3 linked regions of the Neurospora crassa OR74A genome follow. The protein of the gene in region 2 purifies or fractionates together with the protein of the main gene of each other region. This does not show direct contact. Links are inferred from orthologs where the notes say so. Each region holds a gene or a part of one and is shown on either strand. Other genes may lie near its edges.

The links.
Region 1: the proteins of stk-18 (region 2) and NCU02375 purify together in Saccharomyces cerevisiae (affinity purification with mass spectrometry; 8 studies listed by BioGRID, with this or other methods). This does not show direct contact. The link is inferred for Neurospora crassa OR74A from reciprocal best matches to the Saccharomyces cerevisiae genes TRA1 and UBP8.
Region 3: the proteins of stk-18 (region 2) and NCU09208 purify together in Saccharomyces cerevisiae (affinity purification with mass spectrometry; 7 studies listed by BioGRID, with this or other methods). This does not show direct contact. The link is inferred for Neurospora crassa OR74A from reciprocal best matches to the Saccharomyces cerevisiae genes TRA1 and SPT8.

The regions. Positions count from the first base shown.
Region 1 is NC_026507.1:2,709,927-2,718,134, reverse strand, and holds NCU02375 (ubiquitin carboxyl-terminal hydrolase 2), read right to left. Parts: upstream 4,440-8,208; 5' UTR 4,299-4,439; intron 4,208-4,298; 5' UTR 3,874-4,207; coding exon 3,798-3,873; intron 3,742-3,797; coding exon 3,505-3,741; intron 3,439-3,504; coding exon 3,325-3,438; intron 3,218-3,324; coding exon 2,409-3,217; intron 2,315-2,408; coding exon 2,084-2,314; intron 1,997-2,083; coding exon 1,895-1,996; 3' UTR 1,526-1,894; downstream 1-1,525. Other genes in the region: rpn-9 (proteasome regulatory particle subunit), read left to right, coding at 193-460, 545-1,422; NCU02376 (metallo-beta-lactamase domain-containing protein), read left to right, coding at 5,441-6,493. UniProt on the Saccharomyces cerevisiae protein: Histone deubiquitinating enzyme component of the transcription coactivator SAGA complex. SAGA acts as a general cofactor required for essentially all RNA polymerase II transcription.
Region 2 is NC_026505.1:3,820,915-3,828,231, reverse strand, and holds the end of stk-18 (histone acetylase complex subunit Paf400), read left to right. Parts: coding exon 1-4,478; intron 4,479-4,544; coding exon 4,545-5,237; 3' UTR 5,238-5,526; downstream 5,527-7,317. Other genes in the region: NCU01378 (acetoacetyl-CoA synthase), read left to right, coding at 6,727-6,837, 6,903-7,317. UniProt on the Saccharomyces cerevisiae protein: Essential scaffold subunit of the transcription coactivator SAGA complex. SAGA acts as a general cofactor required for essentially all RNA polymerase II transcription.
Region 3 is NC_026501.1:5,838,538-5,846,406, reverse strand, and holds NCU09208 (transcription factor SPT8), read right to left. Parts: upstream 4,440-7,869; 5' UTR 4,266-4,439; coding exon 2,157-4,265; 3' UTR 1,587-2,156; downstream 1-1,586. Other genes in the region: NCU09209 (galactose oxidase), read left to right, coding at 1-659, 729-772; NCU09207 (hypothetical protein), read right to left, coding at 5,030-7,077, 7,156-7,215, 7,287-7,869. UniProt on the Saccharomyces cerevisiae protein: Component of the transcription coactivator SAGA complex. SAGA acts as a general cofactor required for essentially all RNA polymerase II transcription. At the promoters, SAGA is required for transcription pre-initiation complex (PIC) recruitment.

The DNA.
Region 1 (8,208 bases), on a different chromosome or scaffold from region 2:
CCCACGATAAGTACGCTGGTTTCCATCCGCAGCAGACTCACCGACGTTTCCACCAAAGAGACCGGATCCTCGAGAATCTGCCTACCTCCCCAAGGACTGGACAGCAAGGATCGATAGAAGACTCAGACACACACACCCACACCCACACCCACACCCACACCCACACCCACACCTAGACACAACACCACAGCCATGAACGTCGACACCATCTCCGACTTCCTCGCCGAGCAGCGCGACCAGGCGCCCGAAGAACTCCAACCCCTCGTCCTTGAGTTCGAGACACTATGGGAGCGCAAGCTGTGGCATCAGCTCACCAACCTGCTGCTTGAGTTCTTCAACCACCCCGGCAGTGCCCCGCAGAGGCTACAGTTCTACAAGGTCTTCATTCTCAAGTTCGCCGACAAGATCAACCAGCTCAAGCTCGTTGATCTTGCTCTCAAGGCCGCCACACAATGTAGAGGTGCGCAGACGGTCTTCATTTCCTCTGCTTCCAAACATGCATCTGGCAGCTAGCACTAACCACGCCTGGGTGCGCAAACCGTAGACAACCAAGAGCGCCTCTCCTTTTTGGAAGCCGTCGTCAAGAAGGTCGACCACGAAGACTCTCAAGACGCCTATGTATTCGCCACGATCGCCGTTGCCCGCGTGAAGCTCGACCTCTCCGACCTTGACGGCGCGCGCAAGGACCTGGACACGGCCGAGCGAATCCTCGACAACTTCGACTCGGTGGAGTCGGTCGTGCACGCCGCCTTCTACGACACCAACGCCAAATACTTCCAAGCCAAGTCCGACTGGGGCTCCTACTACAAGAACGCGCTGCTGTACCTCGCCTGCATCGACGTCAAGTCACTTTCACTCGAGGAGCAGCGCCAGCGCGCCTACAACCTGGCCATCGCGGCCCTCGTCAGCTCGAGCATCTACAACTTTGGCGAGCTTCTGCTGCACCCCATCCTCGACGCCCTCACCATCGACGACCGGCACAAGTGGCTGCACCAGCTCCTCTTTGCCTTCAACCGCGGCGACCTTGCCGCATACGACCTACTGGCCAGCCACATCAGCTCGGACCCGCTGCTGGCGCAGCACACGCGCCAGCTGCGCGAGAAGATCTATCTGGCGGCGCTGACCGAGGCCGTGTTTCGCCGCCCGCCCCATGACCGCGCCATGTCTTTCTCCACCATTGCGAACGAGACCAAGGTACACCCCGACGAGATCGAGCACCTGATCATGAAGGCGCTGAGCTTGGATCTACTGCGGGGCACGATCGACCAGGTTGACGAGGTGGCCCACATCAACTGGGTGCAGCCCAAGGTGTTGGACATGCAGCAGATCAAGAACATGAGGCAACGGCTGCAAGAGTGGGATTCCAGTGTTGACAAGCTGGGTAACTGGATCGAGGGTGTGGGCCAGGATGTTTGGGCTTAAAGGGTGGACGAATCTACGGACGGTGTGAGGAGATGGGAACAATTCGGGCGTTCAAACGGATGGCATCAAACCTGGAGATACAGGAGTAAACCTAATGCTTAGATCAGGGAACAAGGCCAGCTAAAGGCATGATGTTATTCCGCTGCATGAGGCAGACCGACTTTGCATGATACATATGAATACCCATAACGCATGACAACGCCCACGGCGTACGTCCTCCATTCTCTAAAAATCCAGGCCCATGCTTTGGCCTGAGTTATGTCTATGTGAATCCTCTCCATGTACGCTCCATGAACAAAGGCAAATCCAAAATACGCCGGCAAAATATGCTTCCTTGAACGCCGCAAAAAGATCAAGTAGTGTACAAAACGTAAATGAGCCATCTGGCACGTGTTTACTGGAAACAACATCATACACAGGAAAAAAATATTTGCTGCTTACTTGCCCCTACTCGTACACCGTTTATCCGAGCTCAAGACAGGGACCGAACAATGTAAAAGAGAAGATAGGCCTTTGCGTTTAGCACATCAGACTTCTGGGCCAGTTCAACTTTGTGATCGTTAAATGCGAACCACTTAAATAAATGTGCCAAAGGCAGCGGGTCAGCAAGTCTAACCCTTCAGGAACTAGATGTGTGTCATGGTTCACTAGTCAGACTCACCTGGTCGCCAACCCGGCAATAAGAAATGTAGTGTCCGGTATCCATGTCGCCAACGTGCACAACAACGCATAGAAGATCGTAAGTGCAGGACCGCTGTAGCTCGTAGTTATCTTTGAGATCCTGTGTTCGTGCGCGTGTCGTATAAGGCAGCATGTTGAGTTGTAAAGGAAACTGGACAGGTGTCTCGATCTTCTGGGCACGATCATTACGCCCTTGTTTGAACTCGAACCTCTGTTGGCAACTGTCAGCTTCTGTTGTCTCCAAGCGAAGCCAGCGGTAACGGCCAGTAAGGAATGTGCATGAGGAAGGATTCCGGTAATCTGACCTTGAGCTGGATAGAAAGAACGTTGGGTAATTTCTTGATACTGGTCTGTCTTCTTGCTTGCTGTACTGAATTGCAGTTCTGACACCGATACTCGCACTTATCGGATTTGATGTATTCTTCGTCCAAGCATTCCTGGAGAGTCACGCTGTTTTGCGTTCTTGTCGATGCGACCCCGTCGCCATTCGTCAAGTTCTTCTTGCCCCTTTTTTGCGTCAAATTTTCCAAGGGAACACTGAGATCCAAAAAGCTCTGGGCTTGATTGGTGACGCCCCCACAGTTTTGGCACGTTGTGGACGTCTGTAACTTTCCGTAGTATGTTTGGTGGATGATGCAGTTGCAGGTATGCTCACTGCCAATTTCCGGTCTCTTGCCGTCGCCATTTCTCTCGTGTAATTCCTCAGCCATGAACTGGAAAAACTCATGAGCATCTTGCTCCTTGTTGGCTACCAAGTTCTCAAACGCCTTGTTCTCGCTGATCCAGAATCCGGACAAGATATTTGCGGCGGTATAACCGTTCGTCGTTTCGCTGGCATAAAATTCCTGGAACATATCGTCCATGGCACAACTGAGGCAATGGGGTGTGTCGCAACTGCCTGACTGATGCCCATCACTCAGGTAGAAGTTGCGTAGTATGGGATTGTGGAGGAATGATTGGAGGACAACGTTTTGATAGCAAGTTGCTCCGGCATTATAGATACCACGGAGACCGTTAGCCTTGCAGGTGGCGAGGGTGGTGTTGGTCGATATATACTGGGGAGCGTCTTTTACGGGATCAGGGGCGAAGAGTTCCTCATGTTTACGCTTTCGGCCTGTGATAGAAATACAGATTAGTAACAGCCAAGGCTCATCGACATAGGAGAAGGTACCGGGCATAAGCCCCCATGGGTAAGACGGAGAAAAGGACAGAAAAACATACTACCGAAAAACGACCCTGTGCCGAGCTTCTTTAACCTCAAATCCTCAAAGGTAGGGTCCCACACAATATCATCACACATTTGGCAATACACCGCTCCGCTCCTCGACTCAACATCTGATTACAACTGTCAGTTTCCTTGCCCCATGATTTGGCTCCTTCTGGCAGAGGCAGCGAACGTACAGAAGCGATGTGATTTTTTGTTGCCGTGTTTTGTAAGGTCATCGTCGGTGAGAGTCGAGGGGCATTGCAGACAGAGGTAGGTTGGGGTAATGGATGTTACAACCTGGCCATCTACGCCCTTGGCCGTGTGTGACAGGATAGGGTTGATGTCGAAGATGGCTCGCAGAATGGTCTTGTAATGTTGTATGGACATGTTGATCGTCGCTTGATCTTGGTTAAAGAGACGGCCGACATGCTCTAGAAGAGGTTAGAAAATAAGGCCGTGTAGCAGGGACAAGAATGGGCCATCTTACCACATCCATACATTGGCTGGCCGGGCTGGGGCTCCTTGACCTTGTGGTCCTTGGAGGACGCAGCGTTGGCCGACATGGTGATGTGATTGTTCGCTCGTCGAAAGCCCCAAATGTGAAGCCCGTGTGTGCTAGTAGTTCTGAAGGGGAGGAGCTGTGTTCGAATCCGCAGTGGTTGGAGCGGTCCGTGACCGGGTTAGCAACGAGGACGAGTGTTGCTTCAGACGCTGGGGATGATGTTCCTGGACTTTCGGCTCGTAAGAATCGAAACAATGGGTGAATCTAGCTGCAGAATTGGCTTTATTGAGCCTGGCTTTTCACCAGTTGAGATGGCTTGTAAGGGTCGTGGCGAGGCCGGCAAATCGCGTTCCGCTCGGGAAAGAGCACAGTTCCCGGCGGTTCGGTCCAAGTACCTGGAATAAGAGGACTTGTTAGCAGCGATGCACGTCAATTAACGGTCGCGCTTTTTCTATTGGCAACATTTGCTGGTGATTTCCGTCTTACCGTCTATCAAAGCAACGTGTACAAAGCCGGTAAAGTAGCAACAGGGATCTTCTCTGGTTGTGTTGGTTCTCCCGAAGCAAGATGGGTTTGAAGTTGTTCGGGGTTGGAATCTCCATCCGATTTCCGCGGCGTCAACATGGGCAATCAATCAATGGACGCCAACTGCACTTGCATGGACGGCAGCGACATGAACGGCTTATCGAACGCTACCTACGCAAGGCTTATCGATAACGAGAAAGGGGACAGAACCAAAGGGTGGAACCTTTTCAACGCATATAAGTACCTAGGTATGTAACTCTTCGTTGTGTCTGATTGGCCCGTAGCACTCATACAGAGCGTGCAGCGAGGTACCTGAGACGGAGTCTGAGGATCTCTGTACATCTCAACCGAGGTGTCTGCCAGGCCTGCATTTCACTTCACAATCAATTCTCCCAACGACAAGGCAACCTCCAGCGCGAGCCATCGTCATTTGAGAAGCTAGACTTCAGAAAATCAGAACTTTCTGGAGGCTGATTCGGCTCTCTTCCGTGCTTCATGGTCCAAAGGGTTGGCAGCACATCTAGAGGTATCCTCTATCGTCTGTATCGATTCATTGTGACCGATGATGTAGCTGTGTGTCAAATGCCCCTGTCATGACAAAATCCACGCAGACAACAAGCCGTTGATACAGTCTCTAAACTCATCAGTTATAGCTAAGTATGTCAAGAAATTGAAGCGATTCGGACAAGCACGCAAACACCATCAAAAAGGTTGCGTTCCTGGGAGATGTGGTATCAACAGAAAAGGGATTCTTTAGGCCACCACTTGCAACACGTTCTCACAACGGACTTGAACTTGGCGAGCCCGGCCAGCAAACCATCCACCCCGAGTCCGGCTCATATGGCCGATTCGCCAGGTGATCTTCGGAGCTTGCGTGGGTGGTAGCCGGACATTGATTATGTGCGATGGTATCATTGCCGACGCCTCGGCTCGGCAGTACCCCGCAGTCTGTTAACTAGCTCTCTCTCTCTCTATACGCGGTACTCCCACCTCACCAGGACGCAATATCCCACCGTGTTTCACACCAAGTAAGGTTCTCATTCGGAATTGTCACTACTTCCTGTGTGTCGTTCATTTTTTGCCCGTACTACTCCTGGTCCTGGATGTCCTCACCTGTCATCCCGCTCCTGGGACTCTCAACCAGGCCATCATTGTATCGAACTTCATCATCATTTAATACTCGGCTATCTCGCCTTTCCAAGATCCCATATCAACATCTGAAAACAGATCACAAGCATAACCGCAGTATCACCATGTCTTCATCTGCAGTCCAACCGCGAATTACTCCTCTCCCCGAAGTCACCCGCCTCAGCCCAACTGTCATCCGCATCCTCGGCGGCAACCCCGGCAAATTCACCCTCCAGGGAACCAACACCTATCTAGTCGGCACCGGCCCCCAGCGTCTCCTTGTCGACTCAGGCGCCGGCGAGCGCTCCTGGATCTCCGCCCTACAACGGACCCTCACCGACGAGAAAGCTCACATATCAGCCGCCATCATCACTCACTGGCACCACGACCACACCGGCGGGATCCGGCACCTGCTCGACTGGAACAGCAAGATCAAAGTCTACAAGAACCAACCCACCTACCTACCAGGCTACCACGGCAGTCCAGTCTCGCTCGAGCAAATTGGCACTCCACTTCTCCCCATCGAAGACGGGCAAGAGTTCAGCGTGGAGGGCGCCACGCTTAAAGCGGTGCACACCCCAGGCCACACGGTCGACCACATGGTTCTCCACCTGGCCGAGGAGGACGCGCTCTTCACGGGAGACAATGTGCTGGGCCACGGGACGGCCGTGTACGAGGATCTGGGGGTGTACCTGAACAGTCTGGAGCAAATGCGAGGGCTGTTTAAGGGGAAGGGGTATCCGGGCCACGGACCGGTGGTGGAGGACGGGCCGGGCAAGATTGGAGAATATATTAGGCATCGGCAGCAGAGGGAGGACCAAGTTATTGCAACGTTAAAGAGAGACAGTGAAGATGGATGGACGCCGATGGAGTTGGTCAAGGTTATCTATCAGGGCGTACCGGAAACTTTGCATATACCGGCCGCTGGAGGGGTGACGCAGATCCTTTATAAATTGAGGAAAGAGGGGAAGGTGACGACGGCAGATGGTGGCGATCGATGGCGGCTGACTGATCGATCGGCCCTGTGAGAAGATGGCGCATGGCGCTCAGGGTCACAACGTGGGAAGAACCAGCCAGCCGGTTCTTGGGCTGAATTGCGCATGATGTATGTATGAGGGTGATGATGATGATGATGATGATAGTGATGGGTGGAGTAGAACCCATTCAGGGTTCGGAACTGGTGCCGTTTGTCGCTTGTCGCTTCGCTCTCTCCCCAGAGCCGCGAGTGTGATGTGCATTGCACTCGAATCCTTTTGGGGCACTGTACTATGTATGTACACAATGATCGCCCGTAGCCTTGACAGCATGCACGGTGCAGTGGATTTATGACTGGCGCGCCAGTTCATGACACCAAGTTCGCCTGACGAGGTTCCCGTTTTCGTACGGATCCTTGTGTAGTAGCCAGCACCCAGTCAACCCTAGTAAGCGAAACGGCCCGGGGACGGTCCAGCGTACATAGTATATACTAGACTAGGTTTCAAGACATTGTTACCCCGTCCCTAGCTGGAGCGCCTGGAGCACAGGAAACGACTGTTTACGCGGTTCGTGTGCAATGCACATTTCCGGCTCTTAGGTTGGTACGGATGGAGTCGGGTGCTATGTTGTATGTAAGTAGTGTACAACGAGTGGGCGTGTAGTTGAACCATATGTGCACTACAGTGACAACCGAAACCACCATCATTCAGCCCTAGCGTGCCCGTGACGTCAGTCCATGACGGAGCTGAGTGGATGCCGCTTTGGGGTAGCTCGCTTTCATCGCAGGAGCAGAGCCTCAGATGACAACCGACGACCGCCCGTGTGGGACGGCTTTCAGTGCCAAAATACACATCTCATACCGCTCGAATCTCATGCCGGCCGTTCAGGTTGGTGCCAGCCGGCGCACGGTGTTGTGGTTCGGCTCGGCTCTCGGAACCGGGACGTCGGTCTGTCTGCCACAGAAAATGGAACACAGGGCTGGCTCATCGGCATTCGATGGATCCCGGCGATGCGGTCTCACCGAGTTTCTGCAAGGGTGGGTTCCCGTCTCTTTGCACTCCAGTATGGATCCCCCGTCGTGCCACCCGAGTTATCCCAACCCGAGCATGAGAGAGGACCGCTCCGGCCCGGCCGTTAGTGGATTCCGAATACTCCCGTTTTGTTTATGCGTTCGAAACAGAAACGTTTTGCCATCCCATGTTTTGTGTTTGTGTACATAGTAGGTATGGAACCTACAATACAAATAGTTTTGTTGTTTTGCGATGTGCCGAAGCCAGTAAACATATCTGTCAGCATGTGATTGATTCGCGAGTCTATGACCAGTACGTAGATTCATTTGTTGATCAACGCGGTCTCAGTAACTGAGTACCTAATGGCTCTCGCGAAGCCGTAATGTCTTTTGGGAGTTATGTATGTACGACTCTTCAGCGCGAGCCATGGCATAATCTCGGGCGTCCCCACATCGCGGGACGGAGAGAGAGAAAAAAAAAAAAAAAAGGAAAAAAAAAGGTTTTCTGCTTCGTCGTTTTCCTGGATTTCCGAGACGTCCGCCCACATGTGGATTCTAGTTGGATCTCGTGCGATACACTTACAAACCACTGCAAGGACGCTAGGGGACAGTGCCCATGTGGCTGAATTTTACACGTTGATAGGTACTGTCGATCCAGGAACCACACCAATCATGAGACTGACCAATGTCACTGATACATCATTTCTGTTATTCAGCGGAAGTAATGGCTCCCAAACTCCGATATAAGCGGCATACATA
Region 2 (7,317 bases):
CGTCCGACAAGGAGAAGGCCGATGACAAGTTCCTTACCAACATTATCAACACCCTTCAGGTCATCCGCATCATTCTTCACTTCAAGTCCGACGAATGGGTTGTCAAGAATATGAGTCACATCCAAAAGATTTTGGAGAAGTGCTTGAAATCAGACAACCCAGAGATTCAGGACTGCCTCCACACGGCTGACAAGCAATGTGATGGTGACCGAGACGTCCGACCGATAATCAAGCGAATCCTCGACGCGGTCCCAGAAGATGTGCCCATGGAGGATGCTGATGCTGAAGGCGAAACGGAAGCGCCAACTTCGGAGGTTGTCACGTTCCTGTCCGGCATTGCCACGGAGAGTATGGCTGCGGCAAATTACGTTTCCGGTATCAATATTCTATGGTCATTGGGTCGCCGTCGTCCTACAGCTATCGACCAGCATATTCCTGCAATCATGAAGTCGCTTCAGTCCAAGTTGGCTAGAGACCACGTCTCCCACTATGCGGCGTTGGCACAGGGTGGCATCCCCCGACCACAGCCAGACAATGCCAATGCTGCAACCGAAATGAACGCATACGACCTTGAGATACAGACTGGGCTGATCATCAAGGCCATTGAGACTGTATCCCTTCGTATGGACATTCTCGGGGACAACCGGAGACCTTTCCTGAGCGTCCTCGCCACTATTGTGGAAAAGTCACTGCACACCGCTCTGTGTGAAAAGATCCTTGACATGGTTGAGGGATGGGTATTCCGCTCTGAGGGAACGTGGCCAACTCTGAAGGAAAAGACAGCCGTTCTTTCCAAGATGATCACGTTTGAGCACAGGCAAGATCCAACCATGCTCATGAAATTCCTCAACCTTGTTCTACGCATTTATGAGGACCCCAAAATCACACGGACTGAACTCACCGTGCGAATGGAGCACGCGTTCCTCATAGGAACGAGAGCTCAGGATGTGGATATGCGCACCCGCTTCATGGCCATCTTCGATAAGAGTCTCTCTAGGACTGCCAGTGCTAGATTGGCATATGTTATTTTGTCTCAGAACTGGGATACGCTAGCCGATTCATTCTGGCTGGCGCAGGCAATCCAGCTTCTTTTCGGAGGAGTGGATATGAATCTTCCCATTCAGCTACACCAGGACGATTTCCGTACCTTGTCAGCCTCTCAACTCATTGGAAGCTATGCCAAAGATACCAGAGAACCAGCCTTGATCAGCGATGATAAATACGAGGCGTTCATGGCAAGCCATCGCCGCTTTATTGCCGAGCTTGGGGACATCAAGGCGCGAGACATCCTTGAGCCTTTGACCCAGCTGCAACATATTGATAACAATCTGTCCAATGATATCTGGGTTGTTCTTTTCCCAATGTTCTGGTCCGCGACTTTGAAGGAGGATAGACCTGAGCTTCAGCGTGGCCTTGTCACCCTTCTCACCAAGGATTACCATTCTAGACAGATGGACAAGCGGCCAAACGTGGTTCAGTCCCTCCTTGCTGGAGCAGCCAAAGCTTTCCCAGAGTGCAGGCTACCACCCCATGTTCTCAAGTTTGAGGCTAAGACCTTTGACGCGTGGTACACAGCTCTCTGCCAGTTGGAGACCGCTGCCATCAAGCCAGGAGACGACTCAGCGATCGTCAAGGAAAGCAACCTCGACGCACTGGTGGATCTATATGCGTCTCTTGGTGAGGAAGATCTTTTCTTTGGCACATGGCGTCGTCGGTGCCAGTTTGTCGAGACCAACGCAGCGCTATCGTACGAGCAGAATGGCATGTGGGACAAAGCCCAAAAGATGTACGAAGCAGCCCAGATAAAAGCGCGGACGGGCGTCATTCCTTTCTCCGAGGGCGAATACATGTTGTGGGAGGATCACTGGGTTCTTTGCGCCCAGAAGCTCCAGCAATGGGACATTCTCCAGGAGTTTGCTAAGCATGAGAATATGCAAGACCTGCTGTTGGAGTCTATCTGGCGCAACACTGAGTACTGGCAAAACCAAGAGAACAGGGAGCAACTGGACAATCACATCAAGGGCCTGATGGATGCGCCTACCCCGCGCAGAAGCTTTTTCCAGGCCTTCATGTCGTTGTTAAAATATCACAACAAGCAAGAGAGTCTTCAGGACTTTAACCGCGTTGTTGACGAGGCGATCCAACTTTCCATCCGGAAATGGCACCACCTTCCTAAGCGTCTCACCACAGCGCACATCCCGATCTTGCAAAACTTCCAGCAGTTGGTTGAGCTTCATGATGCTAGTGTGATCTGCCAGAGTCTTTCCGCAACCAACTCGAACAACCTCGATGCACGGTCCGGTGAGCTTAAGCTGCTCCTCGGCTCATGGCGGGATCGTCTTCCTAATACGTGGGATGATATTGTCGCATGGCAAGACCTGGTCACATGGAGACAACACGTCTTTGGTCTCATCAACAACACATATCTTCAACTCTTGCCCCAACAAGGAGGACAAAGCGCTGGTGGTGCTTCGTTCGCGTACCGTGGGTTCCACGAAACTGCTTGGATTATCAATAGATTCGCGCATGTTGCCCGCAAGCATGGCCTCCACGAAGTGTGCATCAACCAACTCAGCCGCATCTACACCTTGCCGAACATCGAGATTCAAGAGGCCTTCCTCAAGCTGAGGGAGCAGGCCAAGTGCCACTATCAGAACCCAGAAGAGCTGCAAAATGGGCTGGAGGTCATTAACAACACCAATCTCGGCTACTTTACAGGTCAGCAAAAGGCTGAATTCTTCACCCTCAAGGGCATGTTCCTGGAGAAGCTTGGTCAAAAAGACGAGGTTGATACAGCTTACGGCATGGCACTTTCGCACGACATCTCGGCCCCTAAGGCGTGGGCAGAATGGGGCTACTTCAACGACAGAAAGTTCAGGGAAAACCCGGCTGATGTGCTTGCCGCCAAGCAGGCCCTTACATGCTACCTGCAAGCCGTGTCAAGCTATAAGAATCACAAGTCACGGAAGCTCATTGCACGGATTCTGTGGCTTTTGAGTCTCGATGACGCCAACAACACCATCTCGAGCGGGTTCGACGACTTTAAGGGCGAGACACCGACATGGTATTGGATTACGTACATCCCTCAGCTGCTCACCGGACTCAATCACAAGGAGGCACCGAGACTCCAGGTCGTCCTGAGCAAGATTGCTAAAAGCTACCCTCAGGCGCTTTACTTCCTGCTCCGAACCAGCCGCGAAGATATGCTGCAAATCAAGAAGGCTCAGGAGAATAAGGAGCGTCTGAGACAGCAACAGCAGCAACGAGCTCAAAGCGCAGCCGCAAACGCCAACAGGGCAAGTGCTACTCCGGGCCAGCCTACTCCTGCTGCTACGGCTACGGCTACTCCCAAGCCCGAAGGTGACTCGCGACCTGCCACCGCTACTGGCGATGCTGCTGGACAGATCAAGCCTGAAGTCAAGGCTGAGGGTGCAGTCAATGGTGTTCCTGTGGCACCTGGTCAAGGCAGCGTTCCTCCGCCAAACCCTGCTCAAGTCGCGGCAGGCCATCACGCTGCGGGTGCAGTCCCTGGTGCGCAGCCACAGGCCGTCCAGAAGAGGCCACCTTGGGAACTTACCGATGAGATCATGAGCATGTTGAAGACGGCGTTCCCGCTCCTGGCGCTGTCCATGGAGACCATGGTGGATCAGATCCAGAAGCATTTCAAGTGCCCACCTGACGAAGACGCATACAGACTCATTGTTGCACTCCTTAACGACGGCCTGTCATATGTCAGTCGTATGCCGACTTCGTATGCCAGAGACGTCAAGCTTCCAGTCGCAACCGAGGCAAATATAACACGTTTTGCTGAGACGATACTGCCGACTCACATCCGAGGTACATTTGAACAAGAGTTTGTTAAGGCCAAACCCACCATGTATGAGTATATCCACAAACTCCGGAAATGGCGCGACAAGTTTGAAGAGAAGCTGGATCGCCGTCGCACAAGCATGCCTTTGGAGAACTTCTCTCACTATACGCCACATCTTAGCGAGTTCCGGTATCAGAAGTTCGACGAGGTCGAGATTCCAGGTCAATATTTGCAGCATAAGGACAAGAATCAGGACTTTATCCGTATCGACAGGTTCCTGCCCAATGTTGATCTCGTCCGCACTTCCAATGTGTCGCATCGCCGCCTGAAGATCCGCGGCCATGATGGTAGTGTTCATTCGTTTGCTGTTCAGCATCCTGCGGCGCGACAGTCTCGTCGCGAAGAGCGCCTTCTTCAGCTCTTCAGACAGCTCAATCAGACCTTGAGCCACAAGAAGGAGAGTCGCAGGCGTGATCTCCAGTTCACACTGCCCTTAATGGTACCTCTTGCTCCTCATATCAGGATTATTCAAGAGGATACGTCGTATATCACTCTCCAGGGCATTTACGAGGACCATTGCCGCAGGTCGGGTGTACACAAGGATGAGCCATTCCTCTTTACGATGGAGAAATTGCGCGGGCTCATGGATGGAAAGCTGCCGAACGCGGTAAGTAGTCGCATGGTCCCCATGGATAAAACAGATGAGAGCAGCAATACTGACATGTCGATGCAGAAGTTATCTGAACAGGGGCAGAATGCGGCGGCTCGTCTTGAAGTGCTCAACGCAATTCAGGAGAAGTGGGTGCCGCACACACTGGTGCTGCAGTATTTCCAGGCTATCTTCCCCGACTTTGCCGAGTTCTGGCTCTTCAGGCGTCGCTTCTCGTACCAGCTCGCTGCGCTCACGTTCATGACGTACATCTTGCATATCGACAAGCGGTACCCGCACAAGTTCAACATCGCGCGCGGCTCAGGTAACATCTGGGGCTCGGAGCTCACGGCTCTCATGGCGGCCAACAAGCCCTACTTCAGCAACACAGAGCCGGTGCCCTTCCGTCTCACGCCCAACCTCCAGACGCTCATGGGCCCGCTTGCGCTCGAGGGCATCTTTACCGTTTCCATGATGGCGATCGCGCGCTGTCTGACGGACCCGGAGTTCCAGCTCGAGCACGCGCTGACGCTGTTTGTCCGTGATGAGATGATCTTTTGGTTCACGAGCAGTCACAGGCCGCTGAACCTGTCGGACAATCAGCTGAGAGAGACGGTGCAGGCGAACAGCGAGATGATTGTCAAGCGGGCAGCATCGCTGGCTCAGGCGCCGGCGGGCAACTTGCCGGCGTATCAGACGATCATCGATCTGATTGCGAAGGCGGTCAGTCCGTTGAATCTGGCGCAGTGTGAGGCGTTGTGGATGCCGTATCTGTGATGGAGGGGTGGAGGTTTGAATGGTAGTTTGAGTCGCTGAAAGTGTGTTTCATTATGAGGAAAAGATTTTACAGGAACGTTGGAGTTTGTATGCTAGGAAAGGAGGACAGAGCACAGGGTGTATGTGGTAATGATGGGTTGTATCTGCATTCATGACGGTTATTGTATGGAGCGCAAAGTTTGCATTGTTCTTGGTGTTAAGAGGAGTAGAAAAGTGATCAGTTAGCAGCAATGATTCAGATACACAAGGCCTACGGGCTGTTTATGAAATGTTTGGGCTTGTGAGACTGTGAAATAAAGTTGCCGTGGCTTGAGCTTATCCTCGATGAGCTCGTCGGTGCAACATTCGGGTGCGTAACGGATTAAATCACATGCTTGCTCGCCCTCATCCCAAACCCCGACACAGCCGCATCACGGAGTTGGCGATATCGGAGTTTGGAGCAATGGCACCACCCCCTGACCCCAATTCCAACCAAGTCCGTCCTGCATGCACACAGTTCAGCACAGTAAAAGCAAACAAACAGAGCACTAAGCACATAAGCTTCCCGAGCCGAGGCCCAACCAGGGCGGGCAGTCGGTGATACTTTCGGGAACTTGCCAGCAGTCCGAGGGGGATCAGCGCTTTCCAGCCGCACTAGATACCAAGCTAAAAGCGGTAAAAGGTTCCCCGGTTCCCCGCATTAGCAGCCATTAGGAACGATTGACCTCTTTTACTCAGAGGCACCCGCAGGACTGGACCGTCACTCAGCCAGGACTTCCACTTGACCTCGCAGAAACTCCAGCAGAGAAGGGACGGGGCCTCTCACAAGACACCAGCTCACCAACTATGTCCTCCACCGCACACTTTGCCATTGGCTTGTTGGTTCCTCACCTACGTCGAAAAAGCGGTCTCAGATCACGGGCACCAGAGTACCTGCATTCCACACTATATACATACTACCAATACTGCTACTGATCGACGTTCGTCATCGCATTTGGCGCGTGTCGCGGTGAAGGAGGTTGAAACGAACTAGGTAAGGTAGCTAACCTAGCTGACTGTTTCGCCGCATTGGTCGACTTGGACGACTTGGACGACTTGGATTGTTTGACTGTGGGCCAGAAGCAGTCAAGAGTTTGTTGGCTAAGGAAAAGTGGAAAGTGGATATATAGTTGAAGAACGACAGCCGTCCGGTTCCCTCTTGGTAAGAGATTCCTTCCAAGTGATTTTGTTTTTTTTCTTTCTTTTCCCCCATTTCGTAACATATTTTGCCTTCGATACCATTTACCAAAAGATGTCGGTGGCAGCGGAATTGCCGTTATCGGCTTTGTCGTCGTCGGCTGCGACTGGTCCTACTGCCGTGATGAACTCTGCGGATGTCGAGATGGGAGTTAACACTGAAGTTACAGGGGTTACAGGGGTTGCAGAAGTTGTTACGGAAGTCCTCAGCACAGAAACCATCACAAACTCAAAAGTCGAGGACACATTGGAAGACGAAATCAACGAAATCATCATGCGCCCAGACGTGATCCCGAGGAAACTCTGGGAGCACCCGGACCCGGAGAGCACGCCGATGTGGCGGTTCTTGCAGAATGTGAATAAGCGACATGGACTTGACATGAAGGTCAGTATTCCATGTCCGCCATTTGAACCCATTGTACCCCGGTATGTTAACAATATTCCTTTTAGACCTTTTCGGAGCTCCATGAATACTCCCTCCGAAACCGCTCGCAATTCTGGGCAGACGTCTGGGAGGAAGCCAACTATATCCACGAAGGCACCTACAGCAGAGTAGTCGACGAATCCGCCCCCATTGACGCCGTTCCCATCTGGTTCGAGGGCGTCAAGCTCAGCTACGCCGAGAACGTGCTCTACTCCCGACCCAAGGGCAGCTCTTCAAGTCAAATCCGATCCACAGTAGGGAAGGAAGACGACAAGGTAGCCGTGACCGAGGTGCGTGAAGGCGCAAGCGAAACCCGCGATGCCACCTACGGCGAGCTGCGCGAGCGAGCAGGGAGACTAGCCGCCGCGATGAAGGCGCGTGGAGTCAAGAAGGGCGACATTGTGGTCATTGTGGGTTCCAACAGCATCGACACACTGCTCG
Region 3 (7,869 bases), on a different chromosome or scaffold from region 2:
CTCCGAGCGCGTCTTCCACACCTCCGTCGTCCTCCCAGATGGCAAGGTCTTCATTGCCGGCGGCCAGACTTTCGGTATCGCTTTCAACGAGGAGAACGTGCAGTTCGTGCCCGAGTTGTACGACCCAGAGTCCAACACCTTCACCGAGCTCTCCCAGAACAACGTCGTCCGCGTCTACCATACCCTCTCAATCCTGCTGCCCGACGGCCGAGTCTTGAACGCCGGTGGCGGTCTCTGCGGCAACTGCTCCGCCAACCACTACGACGGCCAGATCTTCACGCCGCCGTATCTCCTGACAGAGAACGGTGAAGAACGATCTCGTCCCGAGATCCGCACCGAACTGCCTGATACCATCGAAGTCGGAGAGGAACTGAGATTCCACACCGACCGCCGCATCGCATCTGCCTCCTTGGTCCGCCTCTGCAGCGCTACCCACACCGTCAACACCGACCAGCGTCGTGTTCCCCTACCTCTCGGGAGGCGTGTGCCGATGTTCGGTCGCTACCATGTGCAGATCCCCAATGACCCCGGCATCGTCATCCCTGGGTACTGGATGCTGTTTGTCATGGACGAGGCGGGCACCCCCAGCATTGCGAAGACAATTATGATCAAATCCAACGTGAAGACAATTGGAGGAGCGAGCGATGAGCAGAGGCAATGTGAGCATGGAATTCCCTTCCCTGAGTGAATATTTTGCCAAAAGTTGGAAGCTAACACTGAGTGCGCAGATCCCTCGTCGCGGATGAGGTTCCAAATTGAGTTGGCGAAATGATTGTTGTTGTTCTGTGGTGTGAGATGACGAGACATGAAGAAGTTTGTAGATGCATCAAACTTTGGTCAGGAACGGATTGGGAGTCAACCTCCATCTCCTGGTCGTATCCAGCGTGCTGGTTGCTGGTGACTTGTTAGGTCGCTTGGGCGTCCTCGGATGGGACTTGATTGTTGAGCGGTGGTGCTCCGCCGCGGTCTTTCATGATGAATGAGATATGTAACGGAAAAAATGTTAGTTGTAGGGACTATACAAGGATAGGCGTTTGGGTTGTTGTCTACTTTGGTCAAACATGTGTGTGATGTTGTTGTTTTGAGGAGAAATGTGGGGGCCCGTGTCAGCACCCCCGCCCCCTGGTACAGTAGATACCCTAGTAAATGCAACTAATCCAGGCTCTTTGGAGAGGATCGGGAAAAGTTGCGTTTACATGGCATTTTGCAATTACTAAGGTCCCAGTTACATGATAATTGAATCCGGGCCACCAGCCCAGTTGCAATCACTAAGTACCTTTGTATGGACTTGCATTTTCTGGGGGTTGCATTTACTAGGGTATCTACTGTACGTATATGGGATATTAAAACAATCCGTACCCGGAGTGAACCCTCTGGTTGCCTTTTTGGCATGTCTTCCATTGTAGCATCAAAGCTGCATTTGATCCTTAGACGTAAGAGACGAAATGTTGGTGTGGCACGCTAACATTAGGCTTGATGTAAAGGACGTCGCCAATCCAACGAGAGAGAAGAGCCTGACTAGTAGTTGGGTCGGCGACGACCAGCCAATTCCAAGTATTGGAATTAATTTTTTTTTTTTTTTTTTTCAATTATTATTTCAAGGTGCGGTGCAATCTTGCTTTGTAGTTCCTGTCTCTCTTTCAGTCGCTAATCCTGACCGTCTTTTGCTTCTTGGTCCCTGTTGTTGAACTTGGAGTGGTGGAGTGGATGATGTGGGTGATGAGATCTGGGTTTCTGGTACGCTTTTATCAAAAGATACAGGTACCGCTGCATACTTAGCTATGGGACCGGTATAAACAACCGCTACCAAAATAAACATAGAACGCCAGCCCAGACAGGATGAGTATAACTAGACAAGAAGAATTTCAACCTGACAGAAAAGGAAAAAGGCGACGGAATACACATAGGTCTTGTGGCCCATGATCCATTTAGCTTACTGTGGACTGACTGACTGACTTGTTGAAAACTTCAACCCTCCTCAGCGAAGTCAAGAAGCAAAACGTAGTAGAAAGAGAGGATGTCCGGCAAATTAGGAAGAAGGCGATAATAATGAAAGGACCGAAGAAAAGAAGACAACCCAATACCACAGCGTTTTCCAACTTCCTTTGTGATCTTTTCTGCCAACTTTCCTTCTCGCGACACTCGTCGTTGTCCTCTTACTTCACCGGTGAAATCTCGTACCCAATCAACACCTCCGTCGACGTACCATCCCACCCCCTGGTCCCCGCCGCCGAGATCATAATCCTGCTCGTGGGATCGATATACAGACTTGAAATGACGCCCGCCTTGGGGGGACCGGGGACAACCACAAAAGGCACTTTGGAATGCTTCGTCGCTTGCGTCTCGCCCTGCAAGTCCCACAACCGCAAAATGTCGTGCGACGCGCAGATAATATGTCGCCCGTTGGCCATGGGCCGCACGCAACTGACGGCTCCGCTGCCGTTGGGAAATTTCAGGGTGCGCTCGGGCTGCCACCCGCCGCGCGCCTTGTGGATACTGAATTCTTCGACCGTGCCGTTACGTCGGCCGGCATAGATCCAGTTGCCATCGACGGACCAGCAGGCGCCCATGCACCAGGGCGGGACGCCGCGCCGGTTGCCGATACGAGCGACGGGGTCGGGGACCCGTCGGTCCCAGATACGGATGGTGCCGTCAATGGAGGCGGCCATGAAGATGTTGGGGGCCGTTTGGGTGTCGTCGTTTTGCGGGGCAGGAGGAGGGGCTGTGTTGACAACCATGCTGGGGGAGGCTGGGGCGATGGGCTCGAAGGGGATAGGTTCGTGCTCAGTTGGGTGGATGGGGTTCTGGTCTCGTGGTGGTTGTTGTTGTTCCTGATGTTGCTGGGTTTGTTGCTCGGGGTTCGTGGCTGGTTGGTGTCCGAAGTCTGACATAGTGTGACTAGAGTCGCCGTTAAATGTGTCCATGTTGATGGTCCCGTTCTCGGCTGGCTCGATGGCATTGAGCCCGGGTCCCTGAGCAGTGTTCGTGTCCATTATTGTGTCGGTATCCCCCATTGGGAAATCGTCGGTGTGCCCTTGGTTTTTCTGTTCCTCCTCGAGTTCCATGCCCATAGCTCTGGAAAACTCATTGTCGTCGTCATCATCCCCAAAGGCATTCCCACCGCCTATTGTTTCGTTGTCCCCGAAGAGTGACCCTGCAGGACTACCGAACAGCGACTCATGTTCTGGTGACGGGACATCATTCACGGCGCCGTCGTTCGCATTGGATTGCCCCGTCGTATCCATATCGCCATGCGCGCCATTAGAGAAAAAGCCGTTCAAAACTGGCTTCGAGTTGTTACTCTCGAAAGTGTCCGTGATGATCTCGGGATCGCTCGCCTCGGCTGGGATCGGAGCACCCGAAGTCGGTCGTAACTCAATGGCCGATATTTGTCCACCGCTGCCCTCGAACCGCCGTATAACCGAGCCATCGTTGAGGTCCCAGTCCAGCACCGTCTTGTCCCAACTCCCACTCAGCACACTCTTCTCATCAGGCGCCAGTTGTAGCACGCTAACAGCATTAGTGTGCCCGTTCGTCCGCAGGCAGTGTATCCTCTTTCCCTCGTCGTGCCTCACGCTCTGTAAGTTGATGCCACCGCTTTCTAGACCACTCAGAGCCCACAAAGCCTGACGGTGCACCGCTAGACTGTATACCGGAGACAGAATCCTGTCGTCATCTCTAGTGTTCTGTCCTGTCCACTCCTGGTTGTCCCAATAGCTCATGAGCACTCCGGACTTGACAACACTGTCAACAAACGGATGCTTCTGGGCGACAGTGAGTTGTTGCTTGCCATTGATTGTGGCTATGCCGTCAAACTTTCGAATGTAGCCGTCGGATCCGCCCGTCAACCAGTAGCGCATGTCCGGGGTGACGGCTATGGCATTGATGCTGGTGGCTTGTGGGGCGGCCATGGTAGGAACGATGTCGTAGGTGGAAGCCGTAATGTACTCTGGTCTTATCGTTGGTCGCCATTTTGCCCCTGATCCCGAGCCTGAAGGTGTCGCGGAGACGCGTCTGGCTGTCTGGGACGTGGTTTGGTCGGCGGCGTTTGGGTCGTGGGCGTTTTGTGCTTGGGATTCGTCGAAGGGTTCTGCTTCCGGTTCGGGTTCTGGGTCTCGCTCGGGCTCGTCTTGGTCTTCCTGGTCTTCCTCTTCGTCTTCATTAAAGTCTTCGCCGTAGGTGTCGTTCTCGGCATCATCAGCGTCCTCCATGAGCTCGTCCTGCTCATTGTCGGAGCTTCCGTATTCTCGATCGTCTTCGTCCATTGTCCGTGTTGGTAGTGGTTCCGTAGAGGAGTTCAACTATACACGTGGTTATGCCAGGCATATAAGGGTATTGTATTCGATATCGTGTGACTGCTGTACCCAAGAGAAGAAAGTGGGAAAGTTGTGGGGGAAAGCAACCGGAAAGAGATGACAACGGGAGGAAGACGTTCCCAGTCCTGAAGGTTCCCGAATCGAAGCTACACTACATGCAACTGCGGCAGGCATTGATAAGGTTCAACCTCAGTGTTAAGCTTTAGCGGATCAGCAGGCCCGGAACGCTAACACCCCGCATCCCCCGCCGATTGCCAAACATAACAGGGTCAAGTCCTTGAGCTGTTGGCGGTTCAATGTGCCTGAGGTGGTTTTTGTTTGGCGGGCATGCAGCGACCACGCATTGTCCAATTACATGCAGGGCCATCAAGGTGCTTTCCATGTCAACCTCCTGGAATCAGTTCAAGATATCTTGCTGGCTAACATAATGCAAACAGAACGACGTCATGGAAATACGGAAATGAAGACAAGGTGGCAAGATAATGACAAGGAAATCCAACATGGATTGCGATACATCCAAAAGAAATCAAACCCCGAGCAAACAATGCAAACGTACTAGCGAAACCGAATCCTAGAAACAAATGAGGGCCTTATCCAACTCCGCCTCGGGTATGTATACTTCTCTTTTCTTTTCTTCTCTTCTCTTCTCTTCTCTTCTCTTCTCTTCCGAATATGACTGGGCCTAGCCGTTGCCTGGCCTCCATTATCCAAACTCAATCAGTCAGTTCCAGCCCCGTCTCACCTTCGTTCAGCACCACTACCACATACCGCCTCGAGCCCTCTGGCAACTCTTGCTCGGCCGCTTCGTCTGTCGTCTCCTCCGAGATGTGCATTGCAAGATCATGTAACTTCGGATCAGCCTTTGACAACACCTCAGGCGAACCATCGCGATTGATGGCTACGATGTAATGTGGTCGGCTTTGGAGCAGCTCAGGCGGCGCCGCGCCCTCTTCGAATACCACTACGTGCTTCTTGCTTTTAGAGTCCACGGATTCTTCGTCGCCGTTCTTGTTTGACTGTTTTGAGGATTGATCAACCGCGTAGCGGTTTCCAGTAACCAGGAGCGGATCTGTCTCCGGCAGGTGAGGAACCATCTTCATAAGGAGGCGATGCTCGGGGTTCTGGAGACGTGCCGGGATCGGTAAGTCGGTCTCGAAGGATGCTTGAAAGCGGAGTTGGGAGGCTGTAGAGCCGTCTGGCTGAAAACCTTCGCCCGGTGGCAGCGTGGACTGCGTGGTGGTTGCGAGGGAAAAGTTGCCTACGCTAAATTGTCGGCGACGAGTCTTGCTCGTGGAGGAGCTGCTCGATCCCGATGTCAAGTTGCTCCGCTCCGTTTTAGGTGCATGGAGAATTTCGTGATGAAGCTTGTCAAGACCTCCACTATGGCTTGTATGTGGATCTTGGTAGTAAGGCGACCTGTCAGGCGGATCGCCCTTGTCCAGCAAAGGTGCCGCCTCCTCGTCAGACGAATCTGCTGACGATGTTCCGGCGCTCTCAAAATTGGCTTCGGTGAGCAGCCCGCCCAAGAAGAATAATGCGGTTAGTCCTGCGCACCCGCACACCCATGAAAGCGTTGTAGTCAGCCCTCCCCAGCCCGAAACTCCCATAACGGCTACAACAAGAAGTGGGCCAACGAAACTGCCCCAGGCATTGGCGAGACTGGGTAGACTTTCAGCCTTTGCTGCGCCAGTTGACAGGCCACCCGTTCCAAGTACATCCTCTCCACCGGCGACTGCATCGAGAATCTCCTTCACTAACGGCTCGCCGCAGAGACCGAAGGCTACAGAGATCCAGCCAAGGGTAGCCAGTAGTGCCGTCTGAACGGTCATCTTGTTCTGGGTCAACCCGCCTAGACAAGTGAAAGCTGGAGCAGCCGCAATGAAACCGAATGATGTTAGCAATCGAGAAGCCTGCGCGTACCGTGCCGTAAGCGGGGTCGTTAAGAGGCCGACCAAAGCCGCCGGAGCCGAAAGGGGGACGAAGACGAAGCCGCTGGCAGCCATGGGCCATTCGAATGTTCGCTGCACGAAAATCGGTAGCACACTTTGTAGCGCTGATCCGATCAGGCTAAGTGCGATGTATCCTCCCATGGGCACAACAAGTCGCAACATGGAGGGCGTCAGCACTCCCTCTTGAGTACCAGTAACTTCGGAGGCCGCCAGGCTGGGCCGTCTGATCGATCGGTTGGAGACATGGCAGGGAGACACTTCTCTCGAGGAATACCCCCCGCCGGAGGAGAGAGTTCCATAGTTTCGCGAATCTTCACGAGAGGCAAGGAGACCCTCTGCCTCGTGTCGATCGCCTCTTGCCCTGGGATATCTGCCCGGCGGCAGTAACACCGCTACGAGACTTCCAAACACAACCGTCAAAGCAATAACGGCATAAGCCAGTGTAAAGACCGCCGCCTGCCCGCCAAAGAAACCATGCAGCAATCCTGCAGACACCGGGCCGACCGAGATGGCGAAATTCTGGATAAACGCCGGTGTCATCCATGTCAGCACGTCGACAGCAGCAGTTTCGTCGTCGCCTCCGCCCTCTTCATCATCGCCTTCGCTGGCAGTCAAGACCACACCGGCAACCAAGCTGGAGCTGGCTCTCGCAATGGCCACACCTGCGATACCGTGTAGGGCGCGTGAGAGGACGAGGAAGAATAGATTGCGGTAGAATTGAAGCAGGACAAAGGAGCCCGCCGCTAGAGCAAGCCCGCCGAACAGGAGGACCCAAAGAAGAGGGCCTTGGCGGGTAAGGTAGGGGACGGATGCTGAACAGCAGTCAAAAGTGTCAATAAAACCTGAACGAAGCTTGCGTGTGTGTCGCCGGATGGAGGTTGGTGACTTACAAGATACCGCTGCGAATGTGCCACCATATGTTGAGATAAGGATCGATGTCCAAAACTGCACTGGAAAGCAAAAAGATGTTAGTTCATCACTGCTGTCTGTGAAAAGGCGCAGTTGCTTGAACTTAACATACCATGCTTGTGGTGTACTCCCGCTCTGGTTTCCAGGATGGTGGGAATAAGAGGGACCAACAGCGCCGTCAGAAAAGCATCGGTGAACTGGGCAGCCTTGGCGACTACTATGAGAAGCGACATGGTGGTGTTGATGTCTGGCTGAGTAAGGCCGAAAGTGGTGTCATGAAAACACGAAGGTAGGCGACGGTGGCTGTAATGGCCGCGACCGTCGAATCTGGTTGAAAGTGGATGATGATAGTAATTCACGTTGCCGTCGTGGGTGCTGCTGGGATCGCCGGTATGGATAGCGAGAGGCGGCGGTGGTGATGTTGCGCTTGGTGTTATTCGGTGCGGAGATACGGAACCGGAGGAGGATGGCGGTCGTTGTGGGCTACTCCCGGACCTGCCGCGCGTCGTCGTCAGTTGTGACTGCCACTGTGATTGCGACCAGAGAATGGCCTTAGAAAACAGGCTGGACTCGGCGGTCGTCTCTGTTGCTGTCTCTTCATGACGAGGATTATCCTGTTGTTTTGAAGTTGGGATGATGGCAGCGTCCGGTGGGTCAGGGTTTGTATCTGCACGGGCGGGGCCTGTTGTTGGAAC